Stegostoma tigrinum: one gene and its partner. The protein of the gene in region 1 interacts with the protein of each later gene in a pairwise test. Links are inferred from orthologs where the notes say so. Each region holds a gene or a part of one and is shown on either strand. Other genes may lie near its edges.

Region 1 (7,624 bases):
CACACTGACTCTCACTGGGGTACAGGGTCACACACACAATGACTCCCACTGGGGTACGGGGTCCCACACACACTGACTCTCACTGGGGTACGGGGTCCCACATACACACTGGCTCTGACTGGGGTACGAGGTCCCACACACACACTGACTCTGACTTGGGTACGGGGTCCCACACACACACTGACTCTCACTGGGGTACGGGGTCCCACACACACACTGACTCTCACTGGGGTATGGGGTCCCACACACACACACTGACTCTCACTGGGGTACGGGGTCCCACACACACACTGACTCTCACTGGGGTACAGGGACCCACACACACACTGACTCTGACTGTGGTATGGGGTCCCACACACACACTGACTCTCACTGGGGTATGGGGTCCCACACACACACTGACTCTCACTGGGGTACGGGGTCCCACACACACACTGACTCTCACTGGGGTATGGGGTCCCACACACACACTGACTCTCACTGGGGTACAGGGTCCCACACACACACACTGACTCTCACTGGGGTACGGGGTCCCACACACACACTGACTCTCACTGGGGTACAGGGTCCCACACACACACACTGACTCTGACTGGGGTACAGGGTCCCATGCACACACTGACCCTCACTGGGGTACGGGGTCCCACACACACTGACTGTGTTTGGGGTTTGGGTCTCACACGCACTTAAGCCTTCGCAGCTTAGGGAAAATGGTGTTTTCACTCTCTACCCAGAGGATTGTGGATGCTTCATCATTGCACATATTCAAGGTTGGGAAAGACAGATATTTGGTGTCTCAGGGAGTCAGTGGACACGGGAGTGAGTAGGAGTGTGGAGTCAAAGCCCAAGATCAGCCACAATTGTTTTGAATGGTGGAGTAGCCTTGAACCGCCAAATGGTCTACTCCTGTTCCTATTTCCTGTGTTCCGGTTTTCATACTGAGCCTTTGATCTGACATTGTTTCCCCCGAGAAAGCTGTGGGGTATGGGGCAATAACCTACAGAGTGACTCCCCCCTGAGAAAGCTGTGGGGTGTGGGGCAATAACCTACACAGTGACTCCCCCCTGAGAAAGCTGTGGGGTGTGGGGCAATAACCTACACAGTGACTCCTCCCTGAGAAAGCTGTGGGGTGTGGGGCAATAACCTACACAGTGACTCCCCCCTGAGAAAGCTGTGGGGTGTGGGGCAATAACCTACACAGTGACTCCCCCCTGAGAAAGCTGTGGGGTGTGGGGCAATAACCGACACAGTGACTCCCCCCTGAGAAAGCTATGGGGTGTGGGGCAATAACCTACACAGTGACAGCAGGAGTTCCTCTCCACCTTTAAGACCTTTCCCAAAACTGATCCCTTTGCCTAAAGTTCTACTCAATCACTTGCATCCCCTTACTTTCTTAATGCAGCGTCGATTGTCCGTTTGCTTTCCAGTGAGGCACTTGGAAGCATTCTAACATGTTATGTACATGAGGTTTCGTGTTGAATGTCATTTAAGGGTTCCGGGTTTATAGATCGTTTTGGCCAATGAGTATGGTGACAACAAAGAGGAACGAACTGACACAAACATTACAAGTATACTGGAATTAAAATAAAACAGACTTTAGAAAGGAAGCTGAAATTCAGATGACATCTTCAAGTGTGCCACAAGACCTTGTCTGTTACTGCTGAACACTGTGAAACCCAGGCATGAACACTGCCGAGGAAGAGAGGCAGTCAGTCCAAATGAACCACTCAATCATCTGCTGCCTTGACTTTTGTGCGGGCATGTTGGTCAGGCTCTGGAACTGTGCCGAGGATTTTTGCCCTCCATATGTTTCTGAAAGATATGATGAAACGCTTCAAGCCTGGCAGTTTTTTTAAAATTCAAATATGTTGGCTTACAATATGATTTATTTTAATGGAAAAGTCTATTGTTTAATTGAGTTTTGTGATAAATCTCATTCCTGTTGTTTCCTCCAGTGCTTTGAAATATCGTAGCTCAAGTAATGATTTTGATCCAGTCCTGGACTCCCATCCACATGCTTCAATGTGTTTCACATGCAGGGACCATTACTCTGCAGGCAAGCTTTAGGATATAACAACTTGCATTCATGTAGCATCTAGTAAAACATTGAGCTCAAGATGCGTCATTTGTGTTTTAACAGATGACCAAATTTATGGAGCAAAAGGTAAATTTTAATGAGTGTCTTAGAGGAAGAAGGAGAGCAAAGAAAATTACAGCACAGGAACAAACAGGCCCTTCAGCCCTCCAAGCCTGCGCCGATCAAGATCCTCTGTCTAAACCTGTCATCTATTCTCAAAGGGTCTGTATCCCTTTGCTCCCTGCTCATCCATGTACCTGTTCAGATACATCTTAAAAGACACTATCGTGTCTGCGTCTACCACCTCCGCTGGCATAGCGTTCCAGGCACCCACCACCCTCTGTGTAAAGAACTTTCCACGCATATCTTCCTTAAACTTTCCTCCTCTCACTTTGAAATCATGACCCCTAGTAACTGAGTCCCCCACTCTGGGAAAAAGCTTCTTGCTATCCACCTTGTCTGTATCCCTAATGATTTTGTAGACCTCAATTAGGTCCCCCCTCAATCTCCATCTTTCTGCAACCTCTCTTCATAGTTAGCGCCCGCCATACCAGGCAACATCCTGGTGAACCTCCTCTGCACCCTCTCCAAAGCATCCACATCCTTTTGGTAATGTGGCGACCAGAACTGTACGCAATACTCCAAATGTGGCCGAACCAAAGTCTTATACAACTGTAACAAGACCTGCCAACTCTTGTACTCAATACAACTGCGACATGACCTGCCAACTCTTGCATTCAATAACTTGAGAGCTGGAAGAGTTTAGGGAGGAAAGTTCAGTGTTTGGAGCCAAGATATTTTAAGTGATAGCTAATGATTAAAATTGGGGCTGTTCCAGAGATCAAAATTGGAGGAACATGGAGATTTTGGGGTGTGGTGGGTTGAAGGAAGTTATGGGTCAATGGAGATGATTTGAACACAGGGATGAAAATTTAAAAATTGAGGTATTGGTAGACCAGGAACCAATGTCAGTCAGTAGGCACTGGGATGCTAGGTAAATTGGTGCAAGTCAGAATACAGGGCAGTTGAACTTTCAGAGAAGTCAAATTGATGTCCAGGTTAGGTGGATTGTCCATACTAAATGATCCATAATGTCCAAGGATGTGCCAGCTAGGTGGATTAGCCTTGAGAAATACGTGGTAGAGGGATGGGTGGGTGTGGGTAGTATGCTTTTCAGGGGTTGGTGTGGATCCAATGGGACAAATGGCCTGCTTCCCCACTGTAGGGATTCTAAAATCAAATGACAGTCACAGTCTTTCAAAACCTTATTTCTGTGTGATACATGGCAGATCTGTGGAGGCGCTGGGTGGACAAAGTCAGAAGTTACGTGGCGCCAGATTATAGTCGAACATGTTTATTCAAGCTCCACCTGAATCCTACACTTTTGTTTCTTTAGCCTTTGGATCAGCCATGATCTTATATTCTCTCATCATGGTAAGCATGATGTGGAGATGCCGGTGTTGGCCAGGGTTGTATAAAGTCAGAAGTCACATGACACCAGGTTATAGCCCGAAAGGTTTATTTGAAATCACAAACTTTTGGAACGTAGCCCCTCTGTCAGGCAAAGTGAGTGAGAAGCACACAGAGCACAGAATTTATGACGTGGAGTTGCTGGTGTTGGACTAGGGCAGGCAAGGTCAGAAATTACATGACACCAGGTCGTAGTCCAACAGTGTCATTTGAAAACACTAGCTTTCAGAGCCTCACCTGAAGAAGGAGTGAGGCTCCAAAACCTTGTGTTTTCAAACACACCTGTTGGACTACAACCTGATGTTGTGTGATTTCTGTGATAGAGGGAACTGCAGATGCTGGAGAATCCAAGATAATAAAATGTGAGGCTGGATGAACACAGCAGGCCAAGCAGCATCTCAGGAGCACAAAAGCTTGTGTGACTTCTGACAGAATTTATGGGCAGAGATCAAAAGACCAGACAAATGGTGAGGGTGGAGTGCTAAATAATAAGTCCCGGCAGGTGATTCGAAGTGTTCTCAGTGTGAGTAACCATTAACAACTGCTTAGCAAGTCAAGGGATGAGCTATAATCCGATTAACTGAGGCAGAGATGTTATTACAAATACAAAATAAGGCGGTGCTAGAGACTGCCCAAATGACTGGAAATAACATGATAGCTATGAGAGGTCTAGCCAAAGTCGGTTCTATGCTCCATGTAAGTAATGCAAAACCGTTCAACAATTTATCCCGGAAGTGCTAAGAAACAGTGAGGGAATGTTGGCCGGGCTGTTGACGTCACGGCGATGGGACGGCGTGGTTGACGTCATGAAGGAAAAGGAGGCGGTGGGAGGGCCACGTGGTGTAAGAGCGCGCCTGCGCACAAAGGGGAACGGTTGTCTCCGCCTGCCGGGTGGGCGGGGAAAGAGGCGGTCCCTAACGCGCGCCGGTCCGCATTCCCGTCGCGCGTGGGGATTGGCTGGCCGAGCCGGGGCAGGCGCGTGCTTTCTGCACCCACCCCGCCCCCCCCCCCCCCCCCCATCAAAGAAATCTGTGCGTGTGCGCGTGCGCGCGCGCAGTCTCCTGAGGGGACAGGGTTTGTTCGCTCGGAGCTGAGGGAGGGCGGGCCGGTGTCCGTTTGGTGTCCGAGTGCCAGCTCCTGTCACACAACACCCGCTCATCTCGCATCATGGGCACCCGGCACCGCCGCTGAGGGCCTGGTCCCGGACACTGGCCCACCGTTTGTTGATCTTTATTTCCTCTCACACATCCCTGTCCCCCGATTGACCGGTCCGTCAGGAAGGGACGGAGTGACCGACCATTCGGACTTGGCCCCCGCCCACCCCCCCCCGTCACGGTCCGGCCTCCCCTTCCCTTCAGGGACTGTGAGTGAGGGACGGGAAGAGGGAGCTGTGCAAACAACCCCCGGGTAGAGACCAATCGCCGGGGGGGGGGTCCCTGAGTAGGTGGAGGCGGCGGCGGCGGCACTGGCTGGAGTTTGAGATCCAGCCCCCCCACCTCCGCTGGACCGTGAATCCGTAGCGGGCCGTGGGGATGGAGTGGGGGCTGAAGGCCGTCCTCTCGTCCTGCACCCTCGTCGCTCTGTGTGCCTCTTTCACCGCCCCGCCGAAAGTTTATAGCAACACCTGGGCGGTGCGGATCCCCGGCGGGCAGCAGGAGGCCGCCAGGGTGGCCAGGGAACACGGCTTCATCAACCTGGGGCAGGTGAGCAAACTGCATCTCCATACCGTCTCCACTACATTCCAAAGCGGACCTCCTTTTGTTTATAAATAACGAGCGGATGAGTTAACTCTCAGTAACTTCTTTTTTTCCATCCTGTCCTCTGTTTATTGTTTCTGGCAAGATCCCTGGCAGTTTTATTTCAAAACTCAGGACATTTGTGACTTCTAAAGCAATAATCCTTTGTCATTTTGTGGTGATGATTTTGAGATGATTCATGTTTAATCAGTAGGATGTTGCATGAGTTGCTGTTCACGGAAAGTGGATCACTTTTGTTTCGACACAACTTTTGGTTGCATAGCAAACTCCGAAATTTCTGCTCTTCGATCAGAGTTTGTTATTGTTCGCGTTGTTTACCTGTACTTTTGAATATACTCCTTTAAACTCTGCCACAACTTTTAAAAGGGATTCAATTAGACACTTCTGAAAATTTAACAAACTTTTAAAAAAACATGTCGGCTAGGGGCAAAGGTGATTCGTTTTCAGAAATCTGGCCGGAATGGTGGGCAGATTGATAATTTTTATAGCCTAGAGGAGACCGCTGATTTTGTTTCAAGTAGTCACTTGTCCTGCATTTTGCATTGTAATAACTTTTTGAATTTTTCTTATTCTCCCAATTTGTTTTTCCGATGACATTATTTGGTTTAAAAAAATCGTGCCTGAGTATCAGTTCTCTGTCTCTCATCTACAATGCCATGCCAGGATAAAGGCACTATGAACAAGAGATTTATGCAGTCTAAAAGCTTTATGATTGAATAATTGGTCTTTAATTTCTATTTTGCATAAAAATGTTCTTGCTGTTATTTCTTTGGTGTAACTCCATTATGGTGCCAAAACCAGAGATTGTTCCCACTGCCTGTGCGCTTTTGTCCAACACACTTCATCTCCAGATTTCTATGATTACTGTTAGGAGAAATGAAAACCCCTCTCACTAAATTAAAATCCATGTTTATTATTTGTATACTTAAGTTATAATGCTGTTAGAACTACTGAACACAATTCAGTAGGGCTCGACAAGTGGCAAATAGTGGAGATTCAATCTTTTACTCAAAAGTCTCCTGTTTTGAATAGGTTTTATCGGTTGCTTACTTGCGTCACTCCCCACCTATTGATTAGAGTAGTAGTATTTGTGTTGTTTCAAAATGTGATTTTGATTCTCTGGCTAATGTATTTTGTCATCAAATCTGTGCAAACAGCACTTAGACTTTTCTATATGTTGCCACTTGTATTACAAGACAGGAACAAGTGTGGAGAAAACGAGGATTCTTGGATCTCAATAGGATCATGTTGAGATCACAGGACAAGAAGCTTCACGTCACTGTGAATTTCAGATTTGTAGATATCAACCATTATTCATTATGTTGCAGTTAGATTTGCATTTTGTCTTTGTTTGTGAGTTCTCTCTCAAACAAAGTGATGGAAGAACTTTTAATAATTCAAGGTTTAATAATTATATATTTTAACATGTATATGATCTGTATCCTATTGCAAAGTATGCACAGTTTTTAGGATTTGCTTAAGTAAAAGGAATGATTTGCACTGTCTAAAAGTGCACTCACTGGCTGCCTCTACCAGTTGTATGAAGTTTTATTCCCGTTCAAAAAATTGTAACAGACCACAATTTTCTTAAACTTATTGATACATGGAAACTAGGAAGTAGATTCTTTTCATATCCCAGATGGGAATAACAGTATTCCAATGTACTAAGTTAGATCCCTCAAATTTAATACTTCTGTAAATGCCCAGACTTGAAGTGAGCTAGCTGGCTGTCTACGCATGATATACTAGCCTGGTTTATTTGTGCTGCGATGTTCTTGTCTCTAAATCCTGTTCATAACTGTGTCCAGTTGCTTAAAGAGGCTCAACATAGTATTCCTGCTATTTCTTTGTGTGCTTATTCACAATCCCACCGAAGACTTGGTGATGAGGGGCCGGGCTGGAATTTAGGATTCACAGATGAACAATGTGATTAAAACAACTTGAGCTTCAGTGTGTGTGTGTGTGTGTGTGTGTGTGTGTGTGTGAGAGAAATAGCAGTGGCTCGTGTCTCTATAATTTGGAAAGCAGTGAATATGATCATATAATGTCAGTAAAGCAAATGGGAGGTTCAAATGACAAGCTAAACTACATGTGTGTTAATCAATCTCGTGAGGAATCTGGTGAAGTGTTATTTATGGTGACTTGTAGTCTGTCTGTGCCTGCTTAGCTGGTTTCGGAGAGTGTGTGTGAGAGCAGGAAGCACAATGGGAATGCAAAGGTTCTGGAAGTGTCTCTAATGACTTTGGATTCTTTGTATCACAGGTTGTAATTAGCAGCAGAAGGTCAGCATCAAATTACACTGACATTTTCGTTTGATAAC
Region 2 (7,947 bases), on another chromosome or scaffold:
AATAGATAATTGAATAATTATCTAAACACAACTTTCACAAGGAAACATGACTTGAATTAAAGATTTAAACAGCAACCCCAAAAAAGTTAACTCAATGTTTACAAAACTTTTATGACATACACAAAAACAGTAGACCAAGGGCCATGAGTAAGTTGAGGTCACAAGATAAATCACTTTAGCAGAAGGGTAGGTTTTTTTTAAATTGTAGAAATTTCTAGGTGGTTAGAATTGGAAGCAAGTACCTGGCCAGAGCTTCATAAACATTTTCAGCTGCCTCAACAATCCAGAACAAAGCTTGGGAAGAGCTCGTGGAGTTATAAATTTGAGAGTTAAGCAGTGGTGCTACTTCAGTGGAACCAAGTGACTGAAGGATATAGGTGGAGTGAGGGTGGTTTTTGTGTGCTGTTTTATGTTAAGATCTTTCTAAATGAACTTTGACCTTTTTCTTAAGATAAAGAACTTAGTTTTAGAAGGATATTGATAGCCTCATATGAATATGTTCAGTGACTGAACACTACAGTAACCAAACTACAAGAGGAAAAACTTACAATCAAGCCACGTTTCACCAAAATTTGACTTGTCTAATATTACCAGCTGAGATCATGAAGTACAAATGTTCGTACAATTATTTGTAGGTGATCAAATTTTGCATTCTACAGTGCCACATCCTCACTGAAAACAGATAGCCTTCATGAATGTCACTCGCTACACCCTTATGCCTTTTGGAAGACTTTAACGGTGCAGTGAAACTTCATTCAGTACTTCTACTCCAAACAGCACTGATCACCAAAGTGCCATTGATGTTTTTCGCACCAAAAGGAAGTGAAATTGGATAATACAAGTATAGAGTGAATTATATATTTGCTTCCCCTCAATAATCTATTCCTTACTGCCTAATCCATGTTCATTCTCAGGCCACACTGTCTTGATGCCCAGGAACACTGACAAGTGACCCAACCATTATAAGTGATAGATTGGTAAACAGAAGACAAAAAACTGATGTAGTAAAATCCTTATATACAAGGTTCAGGCATGTTTCAATTGTTTCTTACACACGATTGAGCAGACATGACATGCAAAAGTGCAGGTGAATCTTTGTTTGGGAATATTAGTTTAAGTTTCAATGTGAAGAAACCTTTGCCTATCTATGCAAATATTTAATTTAACATTTGTATTTGGAGCTAGAATAGACAATGGACAATAGCTTAATGGACAAGTGATCTTCCACTTTAAATTTTAACCCTTCTTTGAAGGAGCAATTATGACCAAAATATCAAAAAAACTGAAGAAATATGATTCTTCCATTGAATGGCAGATAAATCCACCCTTTTTCAAACGGATATGATTGAGCAATTATGTTTTTAAGCTGGAATATAAAACAACCATCTTGATTCAACTAGCAGATCTTCTTAATCCTCAATTTGACGTCTCAAACTACATAAAAATGAAATAATCCCAAAGTAAATTTGTCAGAACAGAGAAGCAACATAAATGCATTACAATCCAGAGCCACAGTTTTGAATCATCTTTTACAGATATAGCTGGTAACATAGAAGGGCTCAATAAATAGGTTAGCTGCTATCCGGATAAAATAAAATGCCGAACACGCAAGATTCCATTCAACAACCCTACAAAACTGAGTAATGAATCCACATCTGACAGCACCTGTGCAGTGAAGCAAGAGTTAACATTTTGGGTCGACTGAGGGAAGGTCACTCGACCCAAAACGTTAACTGATTTCTCTTCACAGACGTTGTCAGTCTTGTTAACCTCTTCCAGCCAATTCTGTTTTTGTTTCTGATTTACAGCATCTGCAGTTCTTTCAACTTTATTTAACAAAGAATGCATGTCGTGCCCTTAACTTCCCTGTACAGAAACATAAAGAATATTTGAGGTTGGTAATGCAAATTGAAGCAGAGGAATGAAATTAAAAGCATGTGTAAAGTTATACACTGCCTGCACACAATTATTCAACAGTCAAATACCCAGTCACAATCCTAATGTATGGCAGAGCAGGCTTGAGCAATACAGCCTAGCCCATTCTTATTTCTTATAGCTTTACTAGTTTTCAAACTTCAATTTACTAGTTGAGACTGGGTTTAGTTAACATGATATGTAAATCAAAAAGCAATTGACAAATGGATGTGTGAGTTTGCTCGCTGAGCTGGAAGGTTCGTTTTCAGATGTTTCATCACCATTCTAGGTAACATCAGTGAGCCTCCGAAGCGTTGGTGTTATGTCCCGCTTTCTATTTATCTGGTTAGGTTTCCTTGGGTTGGTGATGTCATTTCCTGTTCTTTTTCTCAGGGGATGGTAGATTGATTTGGAGTCAAATCAATGTGTTTGTTGATGGAGTTCCAGTTGGAATGCCATGCTTCTAGGAATTCTCGTGCATGTCTCTGTTTGGTTAGTCCTAGGTTGGATGCAAGCCAAACAGAGACATGCACGAGAATTCCTAGAAGCATGGCATTCCAACTGGAACTCCACCAACAAACACATTGATTTGACTCCAAATCAATCTACCATCCCCTGAGAAAGAGAACAGGAAATGACATCACCAACCCAAGGAAACCTAACCAGATAAATAGAAAGCGGGACATAACACCAGCGCTTCGTCGGAGGCTCACTGATGATGTTACCTAGAATGGTGACTGAAAACTAACCTTCCAGCTCAGCGAGCAAACTCACATCCAGAACCTCAACCTGAGCTACAAATCTTCTCAAAACTCACTAGCAATTGACAAATATTTAGAGTCAGAATCAGTGGTCCTACAACACAGAAAAAGGCCCTTTGGCCCATCAAGTCTTTGCCAATCAAATACAACCACCTAACTAGCCTAATTCAATTCTACAGCAGTTGGCCTTATGCGCCTTGGCACCAATGACATTCATCTAAATAATTAATGTTACAAGGGGTTTGTGTCTCTACCACCCTTACAGGGTGAGTTCTAGATTCCTACCACTCTACATGGTAAGATTTTTCTTACAACTGTTCTAAATTTTGCTTCTTACCTCAAATTTATATCTTTCTTCATTTATCCCTCAAAAGGAGAGTACTTCCATGTCCATCCCATTTATCTATACATCACAATCATGTTCTTTGTTAGTGTCCAAGGAAAACAACCCCACGTCTAACTTCCCCAGCCCAGACAACATCCTAGCATATTTCTGCACCTTATCCAGTGCAATCACATCCCCCCTACAAAATGGAATGCAGACTTGTACACTTTATCTGTGACCTAACCAACTTTTTTAAAAAGTTGGTCTTCAAACTCAAATTTACAACAGCTTTGAAGCTGAAAGGCACTTCATGAAAGCATATTCAGACAAAAGTTTAGATCAAAACACTGAAGGGACTATCCAAATATGGGTAAATTTCCACCCAAACCCCACAACATGCAGGCAGGTAGATAACATGCCTGTGACCTTGTAAGTTGTGATTAAAAAAAAGTACTCACTTTACATGTTAAATATCAATATTAGATGAAAAAAAGTTTAATCCCTTACTACCTATTTTTCAACTTTCACCATTTCTTTCCCACTAAAGGACAGAATAACAGGCACTTGTAGATCAAGAGTCTCATTTTTGAGGCAGCGTGGGAAAGAGAAAGTTGAAATGAGGGTGAAAACCAGCAATAAACCAGAAGATCAGCAACATGGAAGACAACTGATGTCACAGGTATATTTGGTGCACTGCTAACAATAAAAAATACAACTTTAAGCCAATAAGCCTTATTGTGGTCATACAATTCACTTTATACCCAGCATCTTAAATCAGTCAACAGTGATGCATACCACCAGCGGTAAAATATTCCCTTCAAGCCTAAGACGCTGAGAAACAAAAACATTGGTACTAATGTTTTTCGCAATTTACGCACTTTGGGGCAGTCAACTGAAATTTTCGTGTAAATAAATAAGATGATTGCAGTGGCGGAAAAAAAGTGCTTTTGATCTTTACGTATAAAATACAAAGGAAAGCTCATATGCGTTTTGCAAAGTGCATGAAGCTATTTCCAGTAAACACAAAGAAAATTAACAATGCCTGTAACTAAAAATAATAGATTCTAGTTAGCAGAAGTAAAAATTAAGTGCAGAAAGACGACAAAAAGTTTCACTGTGCAGCTAAATGGACAGGCAGTATTAGCTAGATTAAACCTACAGATCATGTAAGGGTAATAGATGGGGATTAATGTTATTGCAGACGATAGCTTTTTTTGGGTGGCTTCTTTCTCGATTCCAGCTCCTGCCATTACTACCTATGAAGCTCCTCCAGACTTTCTGGTATCAAGTTGACTAAACATCGATAAGAAAGAGAAAAAGAAACTTATCGGGCCACAGCGGAGAAGTTTTTGTCCCTGCCCTCCTTAACCAGGTTAAAGGCGTAAAGCCTAAGGCCTACATCTTATCACAATTATATGCGAAACAAGACAAATGTATTTCAACCCCAAAACAGATGGTCATTGCCTTACCTTTAAAGAGATAATCATACTCATCATCTCTAGTTCCCATTTTACCCTCAATATAACCGGTTTCTGCCGGAGCGCAACCTGCAACGACCGCAAAGATATCCTTCCTTTTTTTCGGCACAGGCACAAGCCCTGCCCCTACACGATAACCGGAAACTACAACTAACCCGCCCACCGCCTCACCCACTAATTGACAGCTCAGTGGCCAATAATAAAGCGGCGTGGGTACCACAGACCATAGAGATTCCATCACTATGGCAATAAATCCCGCCCCCACCCTGCACTGCCTGACTGGGTGAAGTCATCCAGCCGGGGACCTTAGCCCCGCCTTTTGCAGGATCCTCTTAACCGACTGTTTACAAAAGCTGTCAATTATAACAGTTTTCCCCAGCTGATTGGGTAATCTGCCTGTCATTCACATCTAGTCAAGAACACGCTCCTCTTCCGGCGCGGATCTTTTTCTCTCTTTTTAAGGACTAGGATTGTACACTGGGAGCGGTGATGTTGGCAGAAGAGATGGGCCCAATGAACTATTGAACCGAGCCTGGGGTCGTCGAGACAGCCGTTCCGAAAGTGATCACCCTGAGGTAATGCAAGAGGAATCAAGTCAGTGATTTTTTTAAAAAAATATTTTTAACATTGAACGTGCAGCGATTCTCCTCGTCCAACAAGGTGTTGTGCGTCACAGTCCGAGGATTGGGAGTCTCTTGGTTTTTTTCGTTGGTTAAAATGTCTCCTCAAGTGATGGTTTAAACAGGCTCCTGAGTGAACTGTCACTCGTTCTGCAGCTATGTGGAGTGCAAACATCAGTCAGACATCACAGCAAAGGACCCCCTTTGGCTCTGCTGTCACAACACGGAGGAAATGGAGCACATCGTGCAGTTCTTTGCATAACCCTCATAAAACTCCCAGATAAATTTAGCATGAACGCTTCAATGGCTTATTGTTGTTTTCACAATAGTGTGCATGTGTCTGGAATAATGTACCAGGTGAGTTGTCAAATGGCTCAGTCAGGTTTGGTCAGCGGTTAAGCTTGTTGGTAGTGGAGACCATATGGTACTGACGTGCTCCACGGTGGATAAGTGAACCTAGTGTTTCACTTAAAATAAACTGCCACTAATGAGCTAGGACATCACTGCAACAAAATGTTGATGACTACTATTTCTCAGCAATGCTTCTGAGCTTAAATCTTCTTCAGTCTCTTGCTTTGTTCTGTTGAATCATCATGACTTGGACGAATAGAGAATAGGAAACAATTGAGTGTTTCAACATTATCTCTGAGAGAGAGTTTCCAGATCAATTTATCTTGTGGAACTATAAATTATACTTTTAATTCTATGGAGTTGACAAAACCAGAAAATTTGTAACCTTGTATTGAATTTGAGTGTGAGATGAACTTCTGACCACTCATAGGGCTATCACGAAAGCTACCTATTTCTTGCTCAAAAGTATCACTGGACTTCATCTCTGCCATGCTCACCTGCTGGTGAAACCTTACCCATACCTTCATTACTATTGAGTATTTCATGTACTCCTGTCCAGATGCCTACATTGAAGCTGAAGGTGGGCTGTTACCTTTGATCTTATTCAAACTGTACTATCATCATTTATGTGCTTGCTCACCTTTGCTGACTTCTGACTAATTAATATCCTGACTTATAATAATTAGTTTCCTTATGATTTCATCCATTCCCATCTTTGTAATCTCTTCCAGCGGCATAGTGATCCTATATACTGGTGTTTCTGCAGTTCCTGTGTTTTGAGCTTCCTTAAATTGATTGCATCATGAAAGTTGGCTGTGTCTTCTCTAGCCAATTCCTAACTTCTGAAATTGCTTTCAGAAAACTCTCTAGCCTGCTACCACCTTTCTCCTTTTAAAATGTCCTTTGAATATCTTTGACCAAGTTTTAGCTAATCACGTTTAATATCACCTTACGTGGTTTTGTGTCACATCTTGATTTCTAACTAATTTCTTGGTAAATATGCGAGATCAATATAAATTATTTTTATTAAGCTGCCCCTCTTTAGTGATTATTTATGTTGCATTATCATTGACATGCTTAATTCATTTAACTTGAGGCTATTTGGCTTATTTTCTACCCAATATGCAAAGGAAAAATTAATTTATCAACAACTGAAAAAGAAACATACATTATACTGAATTCTTCTGTAATATATTGCTATATTTTCTCAATACTGACAACTACCATGTGGCCATTTAATAAGGAAAGTGTTTCTTTTTCTTTTCAGTGATAGGTTCATATTGGTAGTTTTTACGTATAAATTTTGTTTAAATAAATAATTTGGTGTAGATAGATAAATAAGTTGTTGTGGAGGACTGTGCAATTTACTGAAAGCTCTTAGATACTTAAATGATTATAGGACTTGAATCATGGACATAGCTGCTCTGCATTTTCTTACATCCACTGGGATTTTTAAAAAACATTCTAATGTGTAATGAAAGCCTCTGATCTTGACATCATCAGCTTAATGTAAATATTTTGAAAGCTGTGTTGTGTTGCCATAAATCTAGGTTTACAAATTGTCTTTATAGGATCAAAATCTACTTTACCTTACATATCAACAAATAATTTTTAGCTGTTTTCTCAAGAGAAATTAAGCATTAGATATTGGAGAAACTATCTCTGCCAGAGGTGATTTGTAACCCAAAAGACAGAGAGTTAAGGTGAAGAATGCACATTATGGTATGGAATACATTGTTTGAAAGCATGGTGAAATTAAATTGAAATGTTCAAATAAGCTTTGAAGGTTACATTTACTGAGAAGTGAAACCAATTGGATAACTGTGATGTGAGAAAATACGTGCTATGCATCTTTTGCCAAATCTAAAATCTGTTGTTTAGTTTTCTTTGAAATTTTAGCAAAATATTCATTTTATAAGCTGAAGAGCAGAAACAGTGTTTAACACACTTTACATGTGAATAACCTTTTAGGTACAAACATATCTGTAAGATTGATGAATACTACATGTGAATAACTGTTTGGCTCACAGGAACATTTCTGGTTGCCAAGTAATTGCTGTTTAATGGAAAAATAGAGCAGACAAATATGCTCATGTGTGGAGAATACTGGCCCAGGTTCCAGATGCAAAACTTATGTGTGGAGTATGGAAATTATTTAATAGCCAGAACGCACTATCTGGAGAATACACAATCGAAGCGGTAGATAACAAATCTGCCTTGAATGAGTGAGAAAGAATTGTAACTTGCTGTAAATCCCAAATCAGTTTGTCTCTAATTTCTCTTTGTCTCTTTATTATGTTTTTATTCATAATGTGTTTTTCTCAAGTTAACTTTTTAATTGAGATTGTTTGTTCCCTTTGAAATTTTTTGCCTTTGGTCAGATATGACTTGCATGAGAAGTATTATCTCTGTAATCGCTGTTACCAATAGACAACAAATGTATTAAAATGGGCTTTCTGCTACAAAAGTTTAATTTTATGTAGCCCTGTTCTGAAGTG

Evidence for each region. The genes of interacting proteins can lie anywhere in the genome.
Region 2: the proteins of furina (region 1) and marchf2 interact in a protein complementation assay, tested with the Homo sapiens proteins (2 studies listed by BioGRID). The link is inferred for Stegostoma tigrinum from reciprocal best matches to the Homo sapiens genes FURIN and MARCHF2.

Annotation. Positions count from the first base shown.
Region 1 is NC_081389.1:22,674,133-22,681,756, reverse strand, and holds the start of furina (furin (paired basic amino acid cleaving enzyme) a), read left to right. Parts: upstream 1-4,597; 5' UTR 4,598-5,079; coding exon 5,080-5,250; intron 5,251-7,624. UniProt on the Homo sapiens protein: Ubiquitous endoprotease within constitutive secretory pathways capable of cleavage at the RX(K/R)R consensus motif. Mediates processing of TGFB1, an essential step in TGF-beta-1 activation.
Region 2 is NC_081383.1:27,520,312-27,528,258, reverse strand, and holds the start of marchf2 (E3 ubiquitin-protein ligase MARCHF2), read left to right. Parts: upstream 1-4,925; 5' UTR 4,926-5,072; intron 5,073-7,947. Other genes in the region: ras-related protein Rab-11B, read right to left, coding at 4,470-4,509. UniProt on the Homo sapiens protein: E3 ubiquitin-protein ligase that may mediate ubiquitination of TFRC and CD86, and promote their subsequent endocytosis and sorting to lysosomes via multivesicular bodies.